Linked DNA regions of Xenopus tropicalis. The protein of the gene in region 2 interacts with the protein of the main gene of each other region in a pairwise test. Links are inferred from orthologs where the notes say so. Each region holds a gene or a part of one and is shown on either strand. Other genes may lie near its edges. The genes, in order: stat1, eif1ad and glyr1.

What was found.
Region 1: the proteins of eif1ad (region 2) and stat1 interact in binary tests that used the Homo sapiens proteins (3 or more experiments, as listed by UniProt). The two-hybrid records come from large-scale screens. The link is inferred for Xenopus tropicalis from reciprocal best matches to the Homo sapiens genes EIF1AD and STAT1.
Region 3: the proteins of eif1ad (region 2) and glyr1 interact in binary tests that used the Homo sapiens proteins (3 or more experiments, as listed by UniProt). The two-hybrid records come from large-scale screens. The link is inferred for Xenopus tropicalis from reciprocal best matches to the Homo sapiens genes EIF1AD and GLYR1.

Annotation. Positions count from the first base shown.
Region 1 is NC_030685.2:43,529,751-43,537,424, forward strand, and holds the start of stat1 (signal transducer and activator of transcription 1-alpha/beta), read right to left. Parts: upstream 5,056-7,674; 5' UTR 4,912-5,055; intron 1-4,911. UniProt on the Homo sapiens protein: Signal transducer and transcription activator that mediates cellular responses to interferons (IFNs), cytokine KITLG/SCF and other cytokines and other growth factors.
Region 2 is NC_030680.2:38,881,584-38,889,306, reverse strand, and holds the start of eif1ad (probable RNA-binding protein EIF1AD), read left to right. Parts: upstream 1-3,672; 5' UTR 3,673-3,876; coding exon 3,877-3,963; intron 3,964-5,947; coding exon 5,948-6,056; intron 6,057-6,427; coding exon 6,428-6,536; intron 6,537-7,723.
Region 3 is NC_030685.2:14,406,263-14,413,987, reverse strand, and holds the start of glyr1 (putative oxidoreductase GLYR1), read left to right. Parts: upstream 1-2,694; 5' UTR 2,695-2,736; coding exon 2,737-2,774; intron 2,775-7,725. UniProt on the Homo sapiens protein: Cytokine-like nuclear factor with chromatin gene reader activity involved in chromatin modification and regulation of gene expression. Acts as a nucleosome-destabilizing factor that is recruited to genes during transcriptional activation.

The DNA.
Region 1 (7,674 bases), on a different chromosome or scaffold from region 2:
GGTTACTGCTCATGACAAGCCTCCACTGTCCATTCTCCACCACCTTCCTCCAGCTTCACTAGCCCCTACCAGTGGTTTCTCTCCTCCTATCCTCCTTCATGTTTGCAGCCCCCCTAAGTGCTGAAAGTTCCACCCTTAGATTCTGCTATTCAGATCCCAAGAGGAAATCCTACCTGCACATCTCACAAGTAAATGCTCCATTAAATTGCCGCTCCAAAAATCACATACATTAGTGACAAGCAAACACGCTGGAGCTCATCCTTACACCGAGTACTTAGTGCAATGCTTTTTATACCCACCTTTTTACTGTCAAATGCTCTTTGGCACAATAAACACTTATTTCACATGCAACACTCGCTGTGCAGCGTGTAATATAGTAAGGTTTCAAAGCAAAGATTGGAAAGCCTGGTGAGAATTTAACAGATTAACTTCTCCCCCTTAATTAGCAGGCATAGGGAAAGAGACAACTTTACTATAGGTGTAGTATTACACAAGACAAAACAGACAAAACAAGTGTAATAAACTTATTTATCCACCAGCTCTCACCAAACAGAGGAAAAAAAAGCAGTTTACCTCAGTCAGGTAGCAATCTGTTATTTAAAGTCAGATATTGCAGGGTAATGCTCACATATTTAAAAATTAATTATGGAGATTTATGACTTAGGAAAGGGTACTGTAAGAAATGTATCAGTGTTTGCAGATGACATGAAACTATGCAGCCCAATTACTTTCATCCAGAATGTGGCATCCTTGCAGCAGGATCTTTACAAATAATATAATCTGGGTGTCTAAGAAGCAGATGACATTCATTGTTGACAAATGTAAGGTCATGCACCTGGGAAGTAAGAATATGCAAACCATTTATACCCATGAAGGATTAGTAAACTTTAAAATATGTAAAATTGATAAGTGCTATTCTAAGCACTTTTGCAATTTACATTATTTTTATTTTTTTTTGAAGAATGAACAATATTAAGGGCAACGTTTACTGTTAATTTAATTTTTTACATATATCTTTGCAGAGGGGAAGAAGCACACCAGTGTGTCAGCAATGCCTTTAAATCATGTAACCAATTAAGCAGGAGCAATCTCCCCTGATACCCCACTATGGGAGAATAGTAACCTACCGCATCTTTCCTGGAAGCAGGATCCTGGGCCGGAGTAGAGATAAAGCGCTTTGACCACCTTTACTCTAATGGTGAACTGCACACACTCCCTCTGCTTCAACAAATTGCCTCCCGACCTGGCCTGTCAGACCTCAGATATGTACAGATTACGCGCGTCTGTGGAATACAGTTCCAACAACCGCCACAGACACAGTACTTAGACCTAGAACACTTGATAATACAACCAAGCAAAACTAAACTACTCTCAAACACCTACAAGCTCTTAATCACTAAGAGATATGACCCACGGCCTAGGGCAAAGCTTAAGTGGGAGACCTCTGGGATACATCTAAATCCCGATGACTGGGAAGAAATCACGGACAATTTATACCAGCCCCTAATAAGCAAAAGAGACAGACTTATACAATTTAAAATTATACATCAGACTTACCTCACCCCACAAAAGCTACACAATATGGGGAAAACTGACTCCTCTAACTGCCAAAGATGCAAAGCATATGGTCAACTTCATGCACCTAATATGGGACTGCCCTGAAATACAAAAATTCTGGGGCAAGGTCACAGAATTTATGGGAACAGAACTGGAACTCAACCAGTACTCAACCCGGCTACCTGTATACTGGGCCTCCTGGACACTCCGATACCTAGAAGGAATACAAAGCTACTACTACTATGAGACTACTACTTTTTTATGCCAAAAGAACCATCGCTCTGAGCTGGATGGGCCGGACACCCCCATCGCTCCGCAATTAAAACTGTATAAACTTACCTACCTCGTTAGAGGTTGTCCGGCGAAATTTGAGAACATTTGGTCTCCTTGGACAGACTCACCAGCCACAACAGTACAATGACTGTTTACTCTCCAATCTCTTCCTTTCCTTTCTTCCCTCTCCTTTTCTACCCTATTCTATTGTTGTTAAAAAAACAATAAAAATCAACCTTTAAAAAAAAAAAAAAAAGAAAGAAGAGAGGGCTGATCTGATGTTCTTCCTGTTAGGAAAAACATGGCAGCAGCCTGCATGAAACTTATAGTTTTGCACAATTTAGTATCATAATAAAATATATAATACGTAGTATAGTAGTAATACACACCTCCAGGTTATTATTAAACAAGTTAAAAAGCAAAGACCAAAGACAGACCCCTGCGGTACTCCACTAACAACACTGGTCCAATTGGAAAATGTTCAATTTAACAGCACTCTCTGCAATCTATCCTTCAGTCAGTTCTCTATCCAATTACAGGTATGGAATCCCTTATCCGGAAACCAGTTATCCAGAAAGCTCCGAATTACAGAAAGCCCGTCTCCCATACCCTCCATTTTAATTACCTAATTTTACCTAAGAAAACTGGAAAAACTTATTGACTCGAGTATAAGCCTAGGTAGGCCCTGGACACCCTGGACACTCATTGGTGAACCAACCCTAGTAACTCTGGGGTAGGCACCCTGGATATTTACCGCTAAAAAGTCAACAATACATTCCACCATCTTGTTCTGCCCCCTAGAAGCCTGCGCCATGGCGTATAATATAAAGGTTCCGTTTCCAGCTTCAAGAACTCCATTAGCAAAGGGAAAAGTCGTGTCTCTTCCTTATATTTTATTGTCAGTAGCCACCGGCAAACAAGCTAGTATAGGCCACCAGTAGCAGGTAGGTAGGCAGGCCTGGACTGGGATTCGAAATAGGCCCTGGCATTTCAAGTACACAGGGGCCCAAAAAGCCCCCCAGCCCAATAAATAGTGACTGTCTGTGGCATCTTACATCAGCCCCTCTGGCATTTGCCAGAACCCAGAGATTGCCAGTCCAGGCCTGTAAGTATACAATACCTGCCTAGGGACCCACTGACTGAGCTTTCCATATCTGCACAAGGTTGTTTCCCATAATTCCCATGCACTCCCATAGTGCAATGCGTACCGGCCAAGGCCCAACCAGAACATTCAGAACACTCTCTGTAGGGCACAACAGTGATCCGAGGGGGTCAGCTGACATCCAGATAAATAAACGGCTCATGTACAGAATCTGTATATAGTGATGCACTCATTGTAATATTATTGTACAAAGAACTACAATTCCCAACATGCTCCAAATGACCACAATGGTGATTTATCCTTTTGACTTTACTTAGCTAGCAGCCATAGAGCAGGTGGTAGTGATATAGGGTAATGTATAATTTAATAAATCTGGGATTTGTAGTTCCCAGATTGCCTTCTTATCTGTGCCCCCTTCCTTTGTTTCTCTCCTTATCACCCAACACCCTTTCTGCGTACGCATTTGTACATGCCCAAAATATTGTTGTGTGCACATGCATGCGTGCGTTGGTTCGTGCACGCACGCCCGTCCAGCCCTCTGTCCAGCCGCGGGGAGGGAAGAGGGGTGCCCCGTAAAACAAACTTGTTCAGCCTCGAATCCTTATACTCGAGTATAAGCCGAGGGTTCGTTTTTCAGCACATACAGGTCCATGTTAATCTAGGAAAGTCCTGCCCAGTTTACCAAATTAGGAAAACCGGGCAGAGAGTTTTGGCCCAGACAGCCCTTCTGGAAACCGTGTTCTCTGGGGAAACCCGACTATTCAATGTATTTTTACAGTGCAACTGCTTCACATACACCAATAACAGTTTATACAACAAGCTAAGAACAGATGCATAAATTACAATAGGTTTGGTTCTTACACGTGTCAAATGAAATCATAAAATAGGGCAATCATTGCCAGTAAATAGAATATTCGTAGGTAATAAATGAACAGCTATAAACTTTAAATTGTAAAATAATATATATTCTTAATTTATGAGGAGCAGTATCTCTAATACAGGGAGTGGAACGGTCTATTTGCACTAGAAGAGCTGAATTTAAAAATTAATTGTTAGGGGCCTTCTTTTGCCACCCCTGGTAAACTGTTGCACACTCCCGTCTTATGGCAGGAATGGTCATGCTGGCATCATTTTTGATAGCGATATTTTATTCTGTAAGTGAACATGACATGATTTAGTTATTAATTGGATATGACAACTGAAGGAGAGGGTAAAATCAAAGACAACCCTAAGGCAATAGGCCATTAGAGCGCTTGTTATTTCTAGGGTGTTCTAAAGTTTGCACTGGGAAAAAGGGTTATTCTGTCTTATATTCAAATAGAAATGTCTGTCAAAAAACTCAGAGATCAGAGTTGAGACTGAAAAATACAGGATAAATTTGTCACCCAGTGGTATTGGAATACATTCAAGTTAATTAAACCCACAGACATGTTGTGTAGATTTTTTTTTTTAGATGAATTGTGCAAATAAAATTTGCTTGGCTAAGTAGTGGCAAATATTAAACAATAGCAGTGCAGATTTGCAGCTCAACTTAACAGTACATGACAGCCTTTAGAGTGCTCACAAACCAATGTAAATTAAAATAGGGGTTTCCAAAAAACAAAAGTCACTGTGGTAAGTGATACACCAGCTGTACACAAGGATTCACAAATGGGCAGGATTACTCAGCATAAAGCAGATTAAACATGGGCTGTGCACACTGGAGTTTATAACCAAGTAGACCAAATACAGAATGATCCAGTCGGCTTATTAATCAAAACTGGGCAAATGTTAGCAGAGGCAGAATGATGCACACAATTACGAAAATTATATAATATATGCTGCAGTATAGTGATGAGTATATAATAGACCAAAAGAGCAATGGGGTTGCCCAGACAGGCACAGTTATAAAAACAGAATCATTAGCAGAAGCGTTTATACCGATGATGTCCTAAAATGGGCGCCGTACAGTGGAGTAAAATGTCTCTCTTTCAACGTACCTGACGCCGTCCTGTATAATAAGCTCAAGAAAGCAAAATAAAACGTCTTGAAATTTACTTTGATTCCGGATACCTCTAGAATCACCAACTCACACACACAAAACCGAAAGAAGAAATGAGGGTACAGCCCTTACTTCCTAGACTGCAAGCTATCCCCGCCTCTAAATCTTGACTTCAGCAAATCATAAAATTGTTTGCTGGCTGTTACTTTAAGTTGGATTGCCTCCCTCTGCTTTGATGCGGACACTTCTTAAAGGGCACCGAAACGATTAATTTGTGCACATTTAATCTTGCTGTAGCAAACAGGCTACTTTTTACAGTTTACTTTTTCAGAACTTTTCTTCTTATATGTATTATATGTAACACTATTTTGTCTTAGATTAGGCCAACCCAGGCTTGTAGTGTAATATAGAGCATGTGTTACATGTGACCCTTAATTCTTCGGCATGGGCCTCTGCTATGTGGGAGATGTAAGATAGGAGCTGAGGGTGTAGTTGAACTACAACTTTCTGATGCTGTGTAGTGTAGATGGTATAAATGGACGCAGAAAGGTTCTTGCTGGTGAACTATAATACAGATTTATTGGTCAAAGACACAGATGTTATGCAGGGTTATCATACTCACAGACATGCAGATTGAAATGGTACAATGAGGGATTTCTCTTTTGTAGAAGAGAGAGTGTACACCGGTTTACCCCACCTCTTGGTAGAGTCTGGGCCGGGATATACACCTTTCAACCAGTACCCCTTGAGAGATAGTGCAAGTAGTAGGAACTCCTTCAGGTTGATAACCTCTAGTGGATTGAGTCCTCCTAGAGCCCTGCACTGAGACAACATTGCCGGATAGGAGAAATACTCCTGGATCTAATCATTCCTTTGGTAGGCTAATGGCCCTTTCTAGCTAGAGCTGACTATGCTCACTTCTACTAGAGAGTGCTATTAAATAAATCTGCTGTGCTTACTTATCCTCATTCACAGGGCCCTGTCCCTGACTTATACAATTAGTAAGGTGTTCTTTGGACTAAGGTGGCTTACTGGGGCCTGTTGCAGCACCCAGGCTCAGAAGGAGCTGTGCTTAGGTAGCAGACAGGCAGCCAAAGAGGAAGCCACTCCTCCCTGCTAGACGCTATTTCAGTCTGCAGGGGGAGTGGTCAACCTGACTAAATCTATAGGGAATAGTGTTAGAACAGTAACTTAAGTACAGGGGCTCTGCCCAATAACAATAGAGGTGTGAAGAGGTAGAGGATAAAGCCATAGGGAGCTTAACCCTATGGGTCCCTACATATATATATGTATATGATATTTATACATTTACTTATTTTGATCTACTCAATAAATGTACATCATAAAAAGAGCTGTATTTACCATATAGGTATCAATATATGCCCCAAAATAAAAAATATTGCAGTCATTATAACTACTGCAAAATCAAGACATTTACTGACTTTTATGTGTGGTGAAAAAATATTCTCACATAAAAGTCTCAAAAGACATTCTCACTAGGTGCAAAAATCATTCTCCCAAATCTAAAATGAATTCTATATCTTTTTACTCCAAACATTAAAGCTTTGATAACATTTTTAAAAACCACCTTCCATTTTGCAGTAACTTATCAGTCACATATCCTTATGCTGCTGGCACACGGGAAGATTAGATAAATCTTTACTACCACGGGCGATGGCACATGCATTACCTCATGAGGAAACTATGGGCGACTTTGGAAAACCGAAGCTATGTGTATGCCATGCCACCAGCAATTCACATTCTTGCTGACAGGAAGACACTTTGGGGGAGATTAGGCACCTGCGGTAGCGAAGATTTATTGCATGCATCTAATCTCCCCGTTTGCCACCAGCCTTGTATACTAGGGGGCACATTTACTAATACACAAACGGGCCGAAAGCGTCCGAATGCGATTTTTCGTAATGATCTGATCTTTGATTTTTTTCAACGTCGTTGTGACTTTTTTCGCGAATTATCGCAACATTTTCGTCACCGTCACGATTTTTTCGTGAATTGTCGCAACTTTTTTGTCGCCGTCGCGCCGCTCAATATGAAAAAGTCGTGACAATTCGCGAAAGTCGTAATGGCTACAAAAAAGTCGCGACAATTCACAAAAAAAGTTGCGACGGCGACGAAAAAAATCGCAAAAAGTACGAAAAAGTGGCAAAATGTTCGTTTCCAATCCATTTTTTTCCCATTCGGATTCGTGCATTAGTAAATCTGCCCCTAAGATTAGACATATTAATATGAATACCAGGGGTCTTTTATGTGTCATATATGCCCCCTAGTATGCAGACCCCTGTAAACCATATTTCTCCTACAGTTCCTTATGTACAAAGATCATAAATATGAGTTTGTTGCCCAATATGCATATATTTACCTAAGTATGTGGTATGTACAGACCCCATAATATATGGCTGACTGTGGCTTCTGCAAAATATTCACCCTGTTTGTTAATTATGTATCATTAGTAGAGATGATTCATGTATGTTGAATGTATATACCCATTTATTGTACAGCACAACGGAATATGTTGGCACTTATAATGTTTGAGGGGCTTTATATATGTTATAATAATAATGTTTTTGGGGGGGGGTGGGCATTAGCAGTAATATATAGGTGCTTGCAGATGACACAAAACTGTGCAGGTCAATAAATTCCATACAGGATGTTGCATCTTTGCAAGAGGATCTGAACAAACTGGCACTGACAGCTAAGTGACAGATGAGATTAATGTAAGGTTATGCAACAGGGATGTAAG
Region 2 (7,723 bases):
GGAAAAGTTCAAGGGGGCCGAATATTTTTGCAAGCCACTGTATATATGGACATAACATGCAAATTTACACAGTATCTCTCTATCCTCTTTAATGTAAAAAAGGCACAAGGTTTGGGCAGGACATAACCCATAGCAACCAATAATGTGTTTTTTTAAAACAAGTAACCAATAAATACTACCTGTTACTGTCTGACCTCAACTTTCACCACCCTGTGTGCAAAGAAAATAAGTGACTGCATGCGTTTCCTCCAACACACACCCTAGTGTGTATAAATGTGCTAGGGAACTTAGATCGTAAACCCCACTGCGGAGGGACTGATACGAATGATGAATTATTTCTGTAAAGCCCTGCAGAAATGTGTGGGTGCCATATAAACAAAGAAAATGGATAAATAGTGCACATATATATCAGTCCCTGTCCCAGTGGAGCTTACAATCTAAGGTGCCTATCACATTAACAAACCAGGGTCAATTTTTATCAGGAGACATTTAACCTGTCTGTATTTTTTGGGAGTATAGCTAAGATTTCCACTTTTAATATGAAATAGGAGCAAGATTTTAAATATAGTACCTTAAATTACAATATAGGTGATTTTTTGTACAAAGAAATATTTTGGGGTATTTATATAGCAGAAAAACAACATGAACATTAATTAAACATTAATTTATATAATGCTACTACAAAGCTGTACTTCAGCACATCCCCAGCATTCATATTTATGTTTTATCTCTGTAGTATGAATTACAAAGGCAGTTATACATTCTGCAGTAGACAGAATGTATTCTTTCCAAGAATATAGTTTTCTGGGTTTAACTTAGATGACAGTCTATTTACACATCTACAACATGGTACACTGCAGAATGTTGTATCTGCAGGGGCCAAAGTATTACACATGTAAATCTACATGCACTACATTCATTTTGGTGTCCAGGGGGTTGAACTGGAGGATCCATGTGAGATTTTGGCTGTATGTTTCTAGATACTGCTAAAAGTCCACACAGCAGATGGTAAAAAATATTTACATATCTCTTTAAAGGGAAACTAAATTTGTATCTGTATAGAGCCCTGCAAGGTTCATATCATATAAAACAACCCAGGGGACCCAAATTGTTAGGCACTCTCCCAGGGACATAAATAATAAACACATTTACCTTGGGCCAGTGGTGCTCCTTTTAAGATTAAGTTCCAGACTGGGGGAAAACTTACGGTGCCCCATGCCATCTTACAGTATTTGAACACCATCCATGTTATTTTCCTTGGCTTGTGCATTTTTTTATTTCACAAAAGGAGCACCCACCAGGGAAAAAATTTTGCAATGAGACATACAGGGTAGGGCCGAATTGCAGAATTGACTTGAGGGCGAAGACACATGCAGCAATTAGTAGCTGTGACTTTTTAAAAAGCTGCAGCGACTAATTTGTACAGCGCATTCAGCCACAGCGACTTTTATAATATCCTATCCTATAATATTGCGGCGGTTAATTGCCCCGTGTGTCTTCATCCTAAACATTCTTCTAGAACCTACAATTCACCTTGTTTTCAATGCTATTTTCTGTTGTAAGAAGATCTTGCACAATGAGGGAACCATGGAGAAGCACCCTGCACAGTACAGGAGTCTGTTTTTTTTTTTTTTTCGTTTGCTTATTGCTGTCAGTTGATCAGTGAGTGACACAGGATATAACAAGTGGTGGCCTGAGGCAAAGGACATAAGACAGAATCATGTATAAACAAGGATGTGCCAAATTCAGGATTTGGCCAAATAGCAGCACTTTTTGGAGAATATGAAGTATATTTATCATGCTGTGTAAAAAGTGGAGTGAAGCATAACCAATCAGCAATCAGATTTCAACAGTTAGAAAACCAAAGCAAATCATCTGATTGGCTGCTATGAGCAACATCACCGCTAATGTTTCACTCCACTTTACATAGGATGGTAAATGTAAATTTTTTTTTTTTGTCTACAGACTATGCAAATTTTCTACTTGAATTTTATATTTAAATTAGAATTTGGATTTGATATCCAGGCAGATATTTTTGGAGAATGCGGTATTTGAATAAATTCCCCAAAATATTGTATTCAGTGCATCTCTATGTTTAAGCTGATTTGAAAAGATTATTTGATAAATTCCTTATTAAGGTGTAAATTATATTTTGCTTAAGGGCCGTGACACACGGGGAGATTAGTCGCGCCGCAACAAATCTCCCTGCAATGCCATCCCACCTGCTAGAATGTAAATCGCTGGTGGGATGGCAATGCGGGGACATTAGTCGCACACGACAACAGAATTTTGTCTCGGCGCGACTAATCTCCCAGTGTGTCACGGCCCTTATGGCAAAGTAACCCACCAAAATGAAAGTGTTTTAACATAATTAAAATAAAATGTATTGATGCCTGGTTTGTTTATTTTTGTAACACTGCTACAGTTTATATAAATAAGCTGCAGTGTAACCATGGGAACAACCATTCAAGGAGAAAAGGCACAGGTTACATAACAGATAACAAATAGGCTCTGTAGAGCACAATGGTGTTTTACAGAGCTTATCTCTTATCTACTATGTAACCTGTGCCATTTATCCCTATTACAATCTGAGCAGCTATTGCAGGGCAATAGCACATTATTGTTAAATTACTTTAAACACTTTTTTGGTGTTACTGTTTCCTTAACCTTTTATTTTATAGTTTATCTTTGTCTGGTTTATTAACAAACAGTGTTACCACTATAGTTGGTATATTATTGCTTATGCAATGGTACCCCTAAATGCATAGTGCCTGTGCCTAATTTCCACTGGCAGTCCCTCGTTTGGTTTTTCTGCTCCTGGGAGTGTTAGGAGTTAAATCTGATTACACAGAGGAGTTTCATTGATCCCATGTAGTGATGGCACTTCTAGCAAGATACAGACACCCAGCGAGGAATTGCAATGCAAAACATTTGACGGTGTCGGCTCCTATAGCTGCAACGTGTGCAACACAAATACCAGTTCGCTTTCGGTTTTAGTTGTGGGGAAGGAGGAATGGGCGCACTGCCGAACCTGAGTTATTTTATTACAATTCTCCTATCACTAACACTCAGTATTAACAAGTCATTATTACCGTTCCCTACCCTAATAGAATGCAGCGCTGCTACGCCGCGTATTGATCTCACGGCAGGTACGTTTGCCACTTCTTTAGCACCTAGTTCATGCCAAGTAGCTAAGCACTCATTTTATCGTTTAACCAACTCTGCTATTCACTTTATTCAAAATATAGCCCCAACCGATAAAAAATGAAATTAAACCCAGTGTGAAACATTACTCACTCTTTTCACGTCTTCCCGCCAACTGACCCGAAAGCTCAAAATCTTCTCCCCCACACCCACCGGAAGTGCTTATGCAGGACACACCTTACAACAGAAAATGTGATTCTAGAACCCGCCGGAAGTATGTTACGCGGTACACCCCCTGTGCAGGATTCGGCCATATTTGTACACCCAAGTAAAAAAAAAAGGCAATTGCGACGGAAGAGCAGCATTCGCCATCTTGGGACTCCTGCTTCTGTGACCTGTTGAACCCGGAAGTGAAAGACCTATGGTCGCCTCACGTTGATTTGAGCGAGCTAGATCATTAGTGAAAACTGGTTTCATCAGAGGAACTTTAGCATAAACTAGTTTAGATATTTCTAAATTGTATTGTTTGTTCCAGCTATTGGAGTACTTTATATCTTTTCGCAGTTTTCTTTATATTAGTTAATTGGGTTATAAAAGCGCTCCGACCTGTGACGCTGTGGTAGTAGTGCAATTACACATGGCATAGATGCTGAAGAGTCTCAGTTTTACCAGGCTTACATACACAGGCATCTTTTTATGGCTTTGTATCACTGAGATAAAATAATCACAACAATGTCAAAAGCCACAAAGCGTAAACATGTGGTTAAGGAGGTTCTTGGTGATTATGTGCAGCCCACTGAGCACCAGCGTATAGTTAAGGTGAGTGAATCCTTTACTCAGTGGTAGTCAAATTGCATTGGGGCCACCGTCTTAAGGGAAACTATTGGGATTAGTTACATTTAATATAAGCTTCTTCTGACTAAAATTACAAACTTCCTAAATTCAACCATTTAAACATTCTATATGGTGTCTGAAATAATGAACTATCCCCTCTCTCAGCATCTGCCTTTCTTAATACAGGAGTCTGGTTCAGATTCTGATTGACACTTGGGTCTAATACATCATATGGGGGTGCTCCATTTGCCAAGAAGATGTATTAGAGATTACTATTCCTGAGAAACCCAGTGACAAATCCTGTCTCTCTACATGCAAGATTTGTGCGGAGTCAGTTATTTGAGTGAGCTCTAATACATCTGCTAGGCAAGGGACCCCCCCCCCCCAAAAAAAGATGTATTTGACCACAACTGTCAATCAAAATCTCCGGTATGAAGAAATAATGTAACTATGTAAAGAATAACAAAAAATTGTTGCGCCTGTTCAGTGGCAATTCTAGCTTTTGTGCTGTTCCCACCCCTTTTAACTGCAGAGCAGGGTAGGGGAGGGCTTCATTGCTAGTGCAGATGAAAGAGAAAGAAATTTCTGATTAATTAATTGGCTTTTTCGCTCTTAAAGTTACTAGAAGCTGCAGGGCTCTGTCTGGTATGGTTCAAGACCATTACTATTGGTTAACATATATACTGCTGGCAACGCTTGTATTCCTTGTAGAGGTGACTCTTTGCCTTAATGTTTGCATGCTGCTACATACAATATCCTTAAAGTGATACGGACACCAGAAATAAAACCTTTTTTACATCTTTCATAACATTATCCTTGCATGAGCTTTATAATTTTGCCATAAATGTATTTCCTGAGGCTTTTACATTTCCTATCTGATCCCCCATGTTTCTCTGTGAGGGGGCGGCCATATTTGTGCAGCAGGAGTCCGTTAGCATTAGAAGCTATAACTGACAGGATGAGAAGGGACAGTCAGGTTGGCAAAACAGTCGGGTTTAGGAACTTCAAGTAACAATTACTCACAAAAGCAGCCCTAACAGTGAAAAATGATCAACATGACCCATAGGTAACTTTTTATGTAGATTCATATTTTAAAAAGTAGTTTTTTCGTGTCAGTATCACTTTAAATTCACATAAAAATGTTGCAATTATCACGTGGTGGGCAAAGTAATTAAAAAAGGCACCGTCTCTCTTGAGGTTCTCCAGTATTATGTATGGCTAATTATGGGTCACTGCAGGAATCTTTGTAGAAATAATTGTTTTTAAAGGGATAGTTGTTCATCTTCTGAAATAATGTCGTCGGAATTTTGTTTTTATATATTATATGGCTGGCCTGGAATGTAACAGAATTTGTAACATGGAATTGCATGTCTTTTATTTTTCCAAATTTAATGTAAACTGCATTCTGCACAGCCATAGGCATATAGGTTTTCATTCACCCTGGTCATGATATACAATATCTTTTGCTGATAAGTGAAATTACTTTGCATTACCTGATATAGAGATGAGGATAATTCCGTACAATGGCTTAAACTACCGCTCAGGATTAAAATTCAAACTACTAACAAAAAGCAGATCACAACTCATGCCCACCCTAAATCTCTGAACTAATGTCCTTCTTCTTACTAAACTGTTTATACCACTGTTCATATGATCTATTCATTTACCTCATGTAACATACACACACTTTGCTAGAGCTTACCCCACTTCTATAGCCATCCCCTTCTTCCATCACAATTTCCATCTTGGATTTTTCCCACCCTGTCACTGCCTTTAATCTGCCTGTCAATTCCTAGACTGAACTCTCAAAATATTTTAGTCTGTGAGTGTACATTAAACAGGAAACACAGTTAAATGTTATTTTATAATCATAATAAAAGTATTGTCTTTTCCAGCAGGAATAGTCCAGTAAATTAGGTATCCTTGTGGCGTAATTTTCATTTTGTAACCAAATCCTTAATTTTTCCAGGTTTTAGGAAGCCCGGGTAACAATCTCCATGAGGTTGAAACATCTGAAGGGGAACGATTTCTGGCTAGCATGCCAACAAAATTCAGGAAGAACATTTGGATAAAAAGAGGTAAATGTGGAGGCAAATCTGCTTTTTTTCTGTTCTTATTCCTATGTAAAACATATCATAATAATACATAGGTAAGAAGAATGCCAGCACTCCTTACCAGCACACCACGGGTCTCTCAACCTCCCGAACTGCACTTCCAGGCATTCAGCAAACTCAATATATCAATTTTCCTGGCTAAAAAAATGTAAAGCATAACAGCAGGGTTGGCATCACTTTGGGTCTCTTCACTAAGATCACCGACATAAAGACGCACAGTTAAATCCAGGTCTGGATCAGCTGCAACAGTGCATGTTCTTAGTGGTGAAGATCGCAGTGAAGTGGACCCAAAGCGCCACAAGGATAACGTTTTTAATCTTTTTCTTTTCCTTCAGGTGATTTTCTTATTGTTGATCCAATAGCCGAAGGAGAAAAGGTCAAAGCAGAAATAGCTTTCATCCTGTACAAGGATCACCAAAGACTTCTACAAAAGGAGGGGCTCTGGTAAGACTCCTTATAATCTGTAGAAGGCCTAATTTGTAAATCATGATTATTTATACTATACAGTAATTGATAGGTTACTTGAGTGTGTTGTATGTATATAATGGAGAAGCACTCGCACTAAAAAAATATATTGTCTGCATGAAAACAACAGTCTCTATGGAAACCTAGAGAAACAAGTCACTATGGCAATCTATCAACAATACACTGTGTATTGTTGATAGGTTGCCAAAAAGACTATTGTCTGGTGCCATTTTTCACCCATATGGGGGAGGGGCTTAATTCACTGTTTGTTATATTCCCTTTAAGAAAGTTCACAGTCAGTGACCAAAACATCGGGTTTGTAAACTAAATTAAAAAAACAAACAAACAAACCCTATTTTTGTTTGCACAAGACATATATAATTTGGCCATAATTATCTACACTGTGTTGGACTGGTTTGTTTCTGGAGTCAGCTTGGTCAGTTTTTTCCTGAAATGCTGTAAATATATATGTAAAATGCTGTATGTACAGGGTACATAGTGGCTCATCTGGAGGTAATGCAGTGCTCAAGATTAATTTCTTAGTTGCAGTTGTGTATTGGCATGTCTGAGATGAATGCAATTCTCTTAGTTCATTCTGAGTGGTCTTACTGGGGGGTGTGTGTAGAGAGAGAGAACATGACAGACAGAATTTCCAAACGAAATTAATTTGAGGGTGGCGCTTGCGAAGGGAGTTTTCTTCACAAAATACTATCTCTTCCACCAACTGGAGTGTGGGCTCTATTAGCTGGTGGTAAGGGAAACAATGTTTGCATGACAAGTACCCTTTCAGACACATAAAGAGGAAATAAAAATGCAGTTGAGCGGCCCATTAGTAAAAGGAAACAGTAGAGCTGTGTTTCTGTGCTCAGATGCTAACTTAGCCATTATAAGAGGGACTGTTTATTTAAAGTGCAGGCTGCCAGGCCATTTCTATACACAGGACTGGCTCTTACAGTAAGACAGTCTGGAGTCCAACACAAGGCTTTTCTAGTAAAGGTTTTGCATAGCTGTAGTGTTTTTCTCATGTTATTTATTAAATTTGTTGTAGTCTCACTGTGCTATAATCAGACCTCAGTAATGAATACTCTCATTCACCGCCACCCTCCCTTTCCTGTTTTTGGTAGTTTATTTTTGTAGCTGATGGCAGGCTTGTCCCTAGTAGTGCC
Region 3 (7,725 bases), on a different chromosome or scaffold from region 2:
AATAAGAAGAGGAGGAACCCCAAAGGGTATTTGCTCATGTGCTGTGCCCCAAAGTCCCATCCACTGTTCAATAATGACACTTAATAAATGGAAAAGTTGTGCCACAACCACAAACCAATGAAACAAAGGCAGTGGTGCTGAATTGCCTCCAGAGAAGTGACCAAAAGCAGCCAATCAGATATTTGAATTCACTTTATAATTTAAGCACACTGATTGGTTGTTAGGGGTATCTGGTACTGCGCACTGATGTGCATGCAGGCAAATCATTTTGTACTTATTCTGATATACGCCCACCAGTTTTATTTTAATGTGCACACGTGGTTTTAAAGGGGAAGTCCACCCAAACACAACTAAAGGCGGCCATACACAGGCTGATTGTAGCTGCCGATATCAGTCCCTTGGACCGATTCGGCAGCTTATTGGCCCGTATAGAGGCACAAACGACGGGTCTGCCCGACCCACATCTGGCCCGAAATCGGGCAGATATCGATCAGGCAGGTTAAAAAATTTAGTCGGATCGGGGACCGCATCAGCTCGTTGATTCGGTCCCAGAACCGACTGCGTCTATTACTGGTGTTCTCATTAAATTGGCCCTGGGGCCAAACAACCGAATTAGCATGAATTCACCCGATATCCCCCACCTCGGGAGAAGATCCGCTCGCTTGGCGACCTTACCAGGCAATCGGATCTTACCGTGTATGGCAACCCTTAAGCTTTTTGAAAAGTAAACATAATTTCAAGCAACTTTGCAATATCCAGCACTGGTTTGGATCCCATAAACCCCGCCCTCTGTTCCCCTGCTGATCCGACTACTTTGAGACTCAAATAAATAAACAAATAAACATTAGTCGCCTGTCCTCAGCCTGCATCCTCCCAATCCCACAATTCCCTGCACATGTGATATCAATGCGGAAAGGAACACAATACAATGCATTGTAGGTTATATAGTTCCTACATGCTGTTTGTAAAGCTGGCCATACACGCACCGATACTATCGTACGAAACCTCGTTTCGTACGATATTCGGTGCGTGTATGGCATGTCGGTGAGTCGACCGATATCGCGGGAAGCTGCTGATATCGGACGACTCGCCGATCGGCCAGGTTAGAAAATTTTGTTCGGGCGCCATAGAAAGCGCCTGACCAAAATCTGCCGTCAGGGCTGAATCGGCAGAAGGAGGTAGAAATCCTATTGTTTCTACCTCCTTATCTGCTGTTTCAGCCCTGACGGTGTGTGGCGGATCTGACAATGTTTCGTGCGACCATCGCCACGTGTATGGCCAGCTTAAGCGGTGGAGAAGTTGTTATAATTTGTAACATCAGTGTTTTAGTCCCTCCTCCCCTGCCAGGATTTCAAATGATGCACAAGAAAAGAATTGTTTACTGTTTTTTTACACAGCAGGTGCAAATGATACTGCTCCATAGGATAAAAGGGAATCAATGGTGCCAGCACTTGATAGGCAGCAACTTGGATGTTTTGCGGCATGGAAAAGGTTAATATTCCCAAATGCCGCTAGATGAAGACATTTGAGGGCTCTGACAGTTTGATGATCACTGGTTAGAACCTCACTTAAAAATATACTGTGGCGTGCGTTGTAGGCATAACTTACCCTTTAAAAGAAAAAAAGACAAATAACAATGCCAGGAAGACCAGTATTTATCCCCCCCCCCCCCTCCAAGGTCAAACCTGTAGAAAGCCCCCTTTGTGTTTAATACGAAAATAAAGGCCTTGAGCCTCACCAACATATTGGGAGTATATATTAAATAAAAAATCAGCATGTGGGCGAAGGTTATGGGACTTCTTTGTGGTACTGGCGCATTAAAGTCTCAGTGCCAACCTACAGTATGAAAAGCAAAACGTGTGGAGGTAAAAAAAACCCTCTCAAAATAACAAGACTTAAGTCTATTTAATTCGGTTCACTTGACTATAGTCTGGTAATGTGCTTTATTGCGTGAAAACAATACTAGAAATGCATGGGGCTGTGCTGGAATTTGACACTACGCAGTTTGCCCGCCAAAAACAAAGCAAAACACAATTGGCACAACCGCGTATAAGGCGTAAGTGACACATCTGACAAGCGAACACCTGGTTTTATAGCCACGGGTCGCGCCACTGCACACAGAGGGGGCGGGAAGATTCCATTGCGGCTGAAGAGAAAGTACCCGGAAGTGCTTCTAAACAACACCATAAACTGACGTGTTTATAAAGAGGAACTCAACTTCCGTACCCAACAGTCCCCACCCACTCACCGCGGCGCTCCCCAGTCCGGAGACCCCGTACTTGGAGAAGGGTTGACAGCCGTGGAAAGCAACGTCACCGGCAGCAGCGGCGGCGGCGTCACGTGGTCTGTAGAAGCCAGCGAGCTAGCGCCTCCTTAGTCACATGACCTCCCACGGCGGCGCCGTCGACAACAACAACAAGCATTGACAGAGAGCGAAGCGCCTCACGTGACTTCAATAGCGAATAGGAGACGGTTTTGGTGTACGGGCGCGCTTCCGCAGACACGCTGGGCGTGGCTAACACTGACGTCTGTCCAATCATTGGTTGGGCTTCATCGATATTTTTTTTTACGCTGCTCATTGGCTCGCCGCGGTGGGAGGAACAGGGTGGGTATTCGTCGCAGCTTGGGGAGCCGCGCACGGCGTTTGGGTGGGAGGGAGCGTTTCCTGTTCCCAGCATCCTCCGCGCAGCTAATTTTTTTTCCTACCCCTTCCCCGCTGCTGGCTGTGTCGGTAAGATGGCGGCAGTGAGCCTGCGACAAGGAGATTTGGTGTGGTGAGTGTTGCTGTGGGAATGGTTGTAGGGCAGGGCAGGCCGCGCAGGCCTTGAGTGCGCAGCTCTGTATACAAATGGGGAAGGACAGGCAGTGCCTGAGTTGAAAGGGCTGCCTGTGTCGCCTCACTCCCTGCTCCTTGGGGCTGGGACTTCAGCTGCTTCATCAACAAAGAACCGAGAAATTAAGTATGAGGGAGGGCGATTGTGCTGCCAAGCTGCTGAGAGACACACACAATGGCTGCTTAATGGCAGATACACACACAACTTTCCCTACTACTCAGCATTCTGGGAGTTGTAGTTCTGTTGGTAGTGAAGATTTCCTCTTACTGACATGGAGATGACAGTAAAGGGATAATAGCCTTAAATTTAACTTTTACACTCATGTGATTGTTTAAATACGTTCGTAAGGGGTCTTCTATTCTTTTTTTGTGTGTTTTTTTTTTAATGGTCATTTTTCGCCTGCAGTTTGGAATTGGAGTTGTGTTGCTTTTTGGTTGCTAAGGTCCATATACTATAGCAACCACTTTAAATGAGTGACCTCACAGGGTAGCCCTTTGCTGGTGTGCAGGGAAAAAGGTTAATTTATATTATTGCCCCGTAAACCTACAGCTATCGGTCAGATCATTGCAATAGTTTTAAAACTATATATTCTTCTAATGCATTATTCCATGTATTATGGTGTTCCTGTATTTGCACTGAGCAATTTTTAGCAATTTTTTTCTACTTATTATTTAAATCTTTGTTGTCTTTTTTTTTTGCCTAAAATATTCTGGGAAATGGATGTATGATCTATTTAGTTTTATTATTTGTATCCTGTGTTTACAGACTGTTGAAGGACAAGGGAAGGCTGAATCACTGGTGCTGTTGGCACCCCTCTGATTGCTTCAGTTTACTTGCGACCCTAGGGTCCATTTTGTTCCGGTGTCCCAGCATCCCCTGCTCCGTCCTGGCAGTAACAGGGTGAGAACCCTTCCTTGGGCAGCGGCTCCCTGCAAGTTACCAGGGGGCACAAAGCCAGTTAGTAAAATGATAATAAGCTCTTCTGGTGCACAGAGCACAATAGTACTTTCTGCACTAGCAGTACGGCCCCCTTGGGTCTTTGCCACTGGAACCTTTCTTTCTCCTGAATCCAATTCTCTCATTTTACTGAATAACTAGTCCAACACTGTTCTTATTATTGCCAAGCACCGAAACTCAAAATTAGTTTAAAGGAACAGTAACACCAAAAAAAGAGCTAAAAGAGTAATACAAATATAATGCACTGGTACAGCTGGTGTGTTTGCTACAGTAACCCTACTATAATTTATATAATAAGCTGCTGTGTAGCCCCGGGGGCAGCCATTCCTGCACTGGTAAAATTGGTGTGTTTGCTACAGTAACCCTACTATAATTTATATAATAAGCTGCTGTGTAGCCATGGGGGCAGCCATTCAAGTTGGAAAAAAGGAGAAAAGGCACAGGTTACATAGCAGATAACAGATAAGCTCTGTAGAATACAATAGTGTTTTATCTGTTATCTGCTAAGTGCCTGAGCCTTTTTTCCTATGAATGGCTGCCTCCATGGCTACATAGCAGCTTATTTATATAAATTATAGTAGACTTTCTGAAGTAAACACACAACTTTTACCAGTGCAGGGCAGCAGCACATTATATTTTAGTTAGTTTTATACACTTTCATTTTTTGGTGTTACTGTTCCTTTAAGGTATTATGTCAGATATATATTGTATAATTGTTAACCCCCCCACATTTTTATATTGCCTAGAGCTCCATTTTGCAGCAGTATCGGCCCTAAACTCTTATGGTGGCCATACACGGGCTGATTCGGCAGCTTATTGGCCTGTGTATGGGCACAAACGATGGGCCTGCCCGGCTGATATCTGGCCTGAAATCAGCCAGCTATCGATCGGGCAGGTTTAAAAATTTAGTCGGATCCGGGACTGCATTGGCTCATTGATGCGGTCCCCGAACCAACTGCGTCTACTCCTGTCATTCTAATTTGATCGTATTGACCAAATTAGCCCGATATCGGGAGAAGATCCGCTCGCTCCGAGACCTCGCCAAGTGAGCGGATCTTAGCGTGTATGGCCACCTATAGGCTGAGTCCATACCAACTTTGCAGGGGGGATTTTGGTCCATTCTTCCAAACAGATTTTTCTCCAGGAACGTCAGGTTTGTTGGATGATGCTTTTCCTCAATTAGCAAATTCTGCCGTTGATTCTGAACTGAGATCTGGGCCAGTGCAGGACATTTCTCTCTTGAGTCGCTTCAGTGTTAATGATTGGGATCATTGTTCTGCTAAATAATGACTATACGGCCAAACTTCTGCTTTTTTAGCCAGAAGAGTTTTTCCCTCTGTATTTTGCACCATTTATTCTTCAGTTTGATGAAAACATGATGTTTCCAACACCGTTCCTCAATGTCGGCAGTATTTTATTTGCACCATGTGAAATTGATCTTTAGCCAAAAATTCCTGTCTTGGTCTCATCTGAACAGACATTCGTGTCCTACATGGCAACAAGGTCATTCTGCATGGCAGAGTCCCGATGTTCTTTCTTCTTGTCCTTTTTTAGTAAGGGCTTCTTTTGTGCCCCACTCGCATACAGGGAAGTATCTGAAGTCTGTGAAGGTAGAACAGCATCCTTGTAAACAGAAGAAAGAATGGATAGTGAAAAGGGCAGGGAAATATTGCTATAGATTGGGCAGAGGTGTATCTTTCAGCTGGAGTATAATCCAAAGCTCTAATTTGGGTTCAGTTGAGAATTGAGGTGCATCATCCGACTATCCTGAACAACACTGGTTTCTGCCAGTCGGTCATGCAGATTTTCTAAATCATGAGCAATGTCCAATGCTGCAGATTTTGAGCTTTGCTTTGAGTTGTTCACCTAAAAGTTAACTTTTTTAGCGTGCTGTAATCAGTTCTATGCCCCAGTTAGGAATTTTAGCAACTATATGGTTCAAATTACTTGACTGACTACAAAGATAAGAAATAAAAAGTAACAAAAACAACAAAATTGTAGCCTCAAAGAGCAATAGGTTTTGGCTGCCGGGGTCAATGACTCCCTTTTGATATCTGGAAAGAGTCAGAAATGGAAACCAAATAAGAAAAGAAAAAAAGACTAAAAAGTAAAAACCAACTGAAAGTTGTATCTATAACATTATAAAAGTTAGTGTAAAGGTGAACCACCCCCTTAATATGAAGACTTATGCAAACAGCATATTCTATTACTACTATTTTTTTTTTTTTTTTTTAAGGACATAGATATCCTTATCTTGAATGCTGGCCACTAGATAGGGCACATAAAAATAATGTGTCTCCATTTAAGAAGCAGTTCCAGTGCACACTCTTTCCCCAGCAACTGTGAGGGGGAAGACACACAGAGCTACTAGTAGCAGCTACTTGTCACAGCTACTAAAATAGACAATGCTGATCTTTTTCTGATAATTGTCTCTGTGTGTTTTAGCAGAGGCAATTCTCAGTATTGTCTATGCAGGGTATTTTCTGACGTTTAGTATCTGCTACTAAGTAGCTCTGTGTGTCTTCCCCCTCACAGTTGCTGGGGAAAGTAGCAGCTTTCAGACAGTTGGAGCACTTGGGCAGTACAACCTTAATGCAGATAATGCCCTGGTTGGAATACTAATAATTTATCAGCGTGGACTGTTCCATGTGTTAGCAGTCAGGTTGGGCTCTCTGGTTGTCAGTAGCCCAATATCATTGATATGGAACCTTGTGTAGTGCGAGAGTTATAAGTGGCCCTTAGCTTTTTCCTGTGTATGATATGTCTTAAAGAGATACTGACACCAGAAATGAAACCTAATTTTACATCTATCATAACATCGTCTTTGCATGCTATTTATAATTTTGCCATAAAAGTACAGGTATGGGACCTGTTATTCAGAATGCTCGGGACCTGGGGTTTTCCGGATAATTTGGATCTCCTACCTTAAGTTTAAGCTAAAAAAATTATTTAAACTGTAATTAAATCCCAATAGGATTTTTTTGGCTCCAATAATATTTAATTACATCTTAATTGGGATCAAGTACAGGTACGGTTTTATTATTACAGAGAAAAGGGAATCATTTAACCATTAAATAAACCCAATAGGGCTGTTCTGCCCCAATAAGGGGTAATTATATCTTAGTTGGGATCAAGTACAGGTACTGTTTTATTATTACAGAGAAAAGGGAATCATTTAGGGCTCTGGCACACGGGGGAGATTAGTCGCCCGCGATTAACTCCCTGTTCGCGGGCGACTAATCTCCCCGAGTTGCCTACCCCTGCCATCCCACCGGCGAACATGTAAGTCGCCGGCGGGATGGCAGACGCGGCGGGGCGATTTCCGGAAATTGCCGAAAAAGACTCGCGAGTTTTATTATTACAGAGAAAAGGGAATCGTTTAACCATGAAATAAACCCAATAGGGCTGTTCTGCCCCCAATAAGGGGTAATTATATCTTAGTTGGGATCAAGTACAGGTACTGTTTTATTATTACAGAGAAAAGGGAATCATTTAACCATGAAATAAACCCAATAGGGCTGTTCTGCCCCAATAAGGGGTAATTATATCTTAGTTGGGATCAAGTACAAGGTACTGTTTTATTATAGAGAAAAAGGAAACCATTTTTAAAAATAGGAATTATTACCCAGCAGCTGAAAAACTAAAATAAAATACATTGTATTTCTAAGCAGCTTTCCAATATATGTTCGTTGCATATTTTTATTCACCTGTTTCCTGTTGTTTGTGTTGGGGGTTCTGCATTGGAAGCAAGGTAGCAGGAGCCGGCTGCTTAAAAACTTGGGAATAGAACTGACGTTTGCTACATTGTTTCAGGAGAGAGAACCAGAGAACAGAAAGGGACAAACAAGAGTGATTACACTTACAAGTGAAACCTTTGAACAGTGTGACTTAAAGGGTAACTAGTTAAAGAGCCACACAAAAACCCCTTATATAC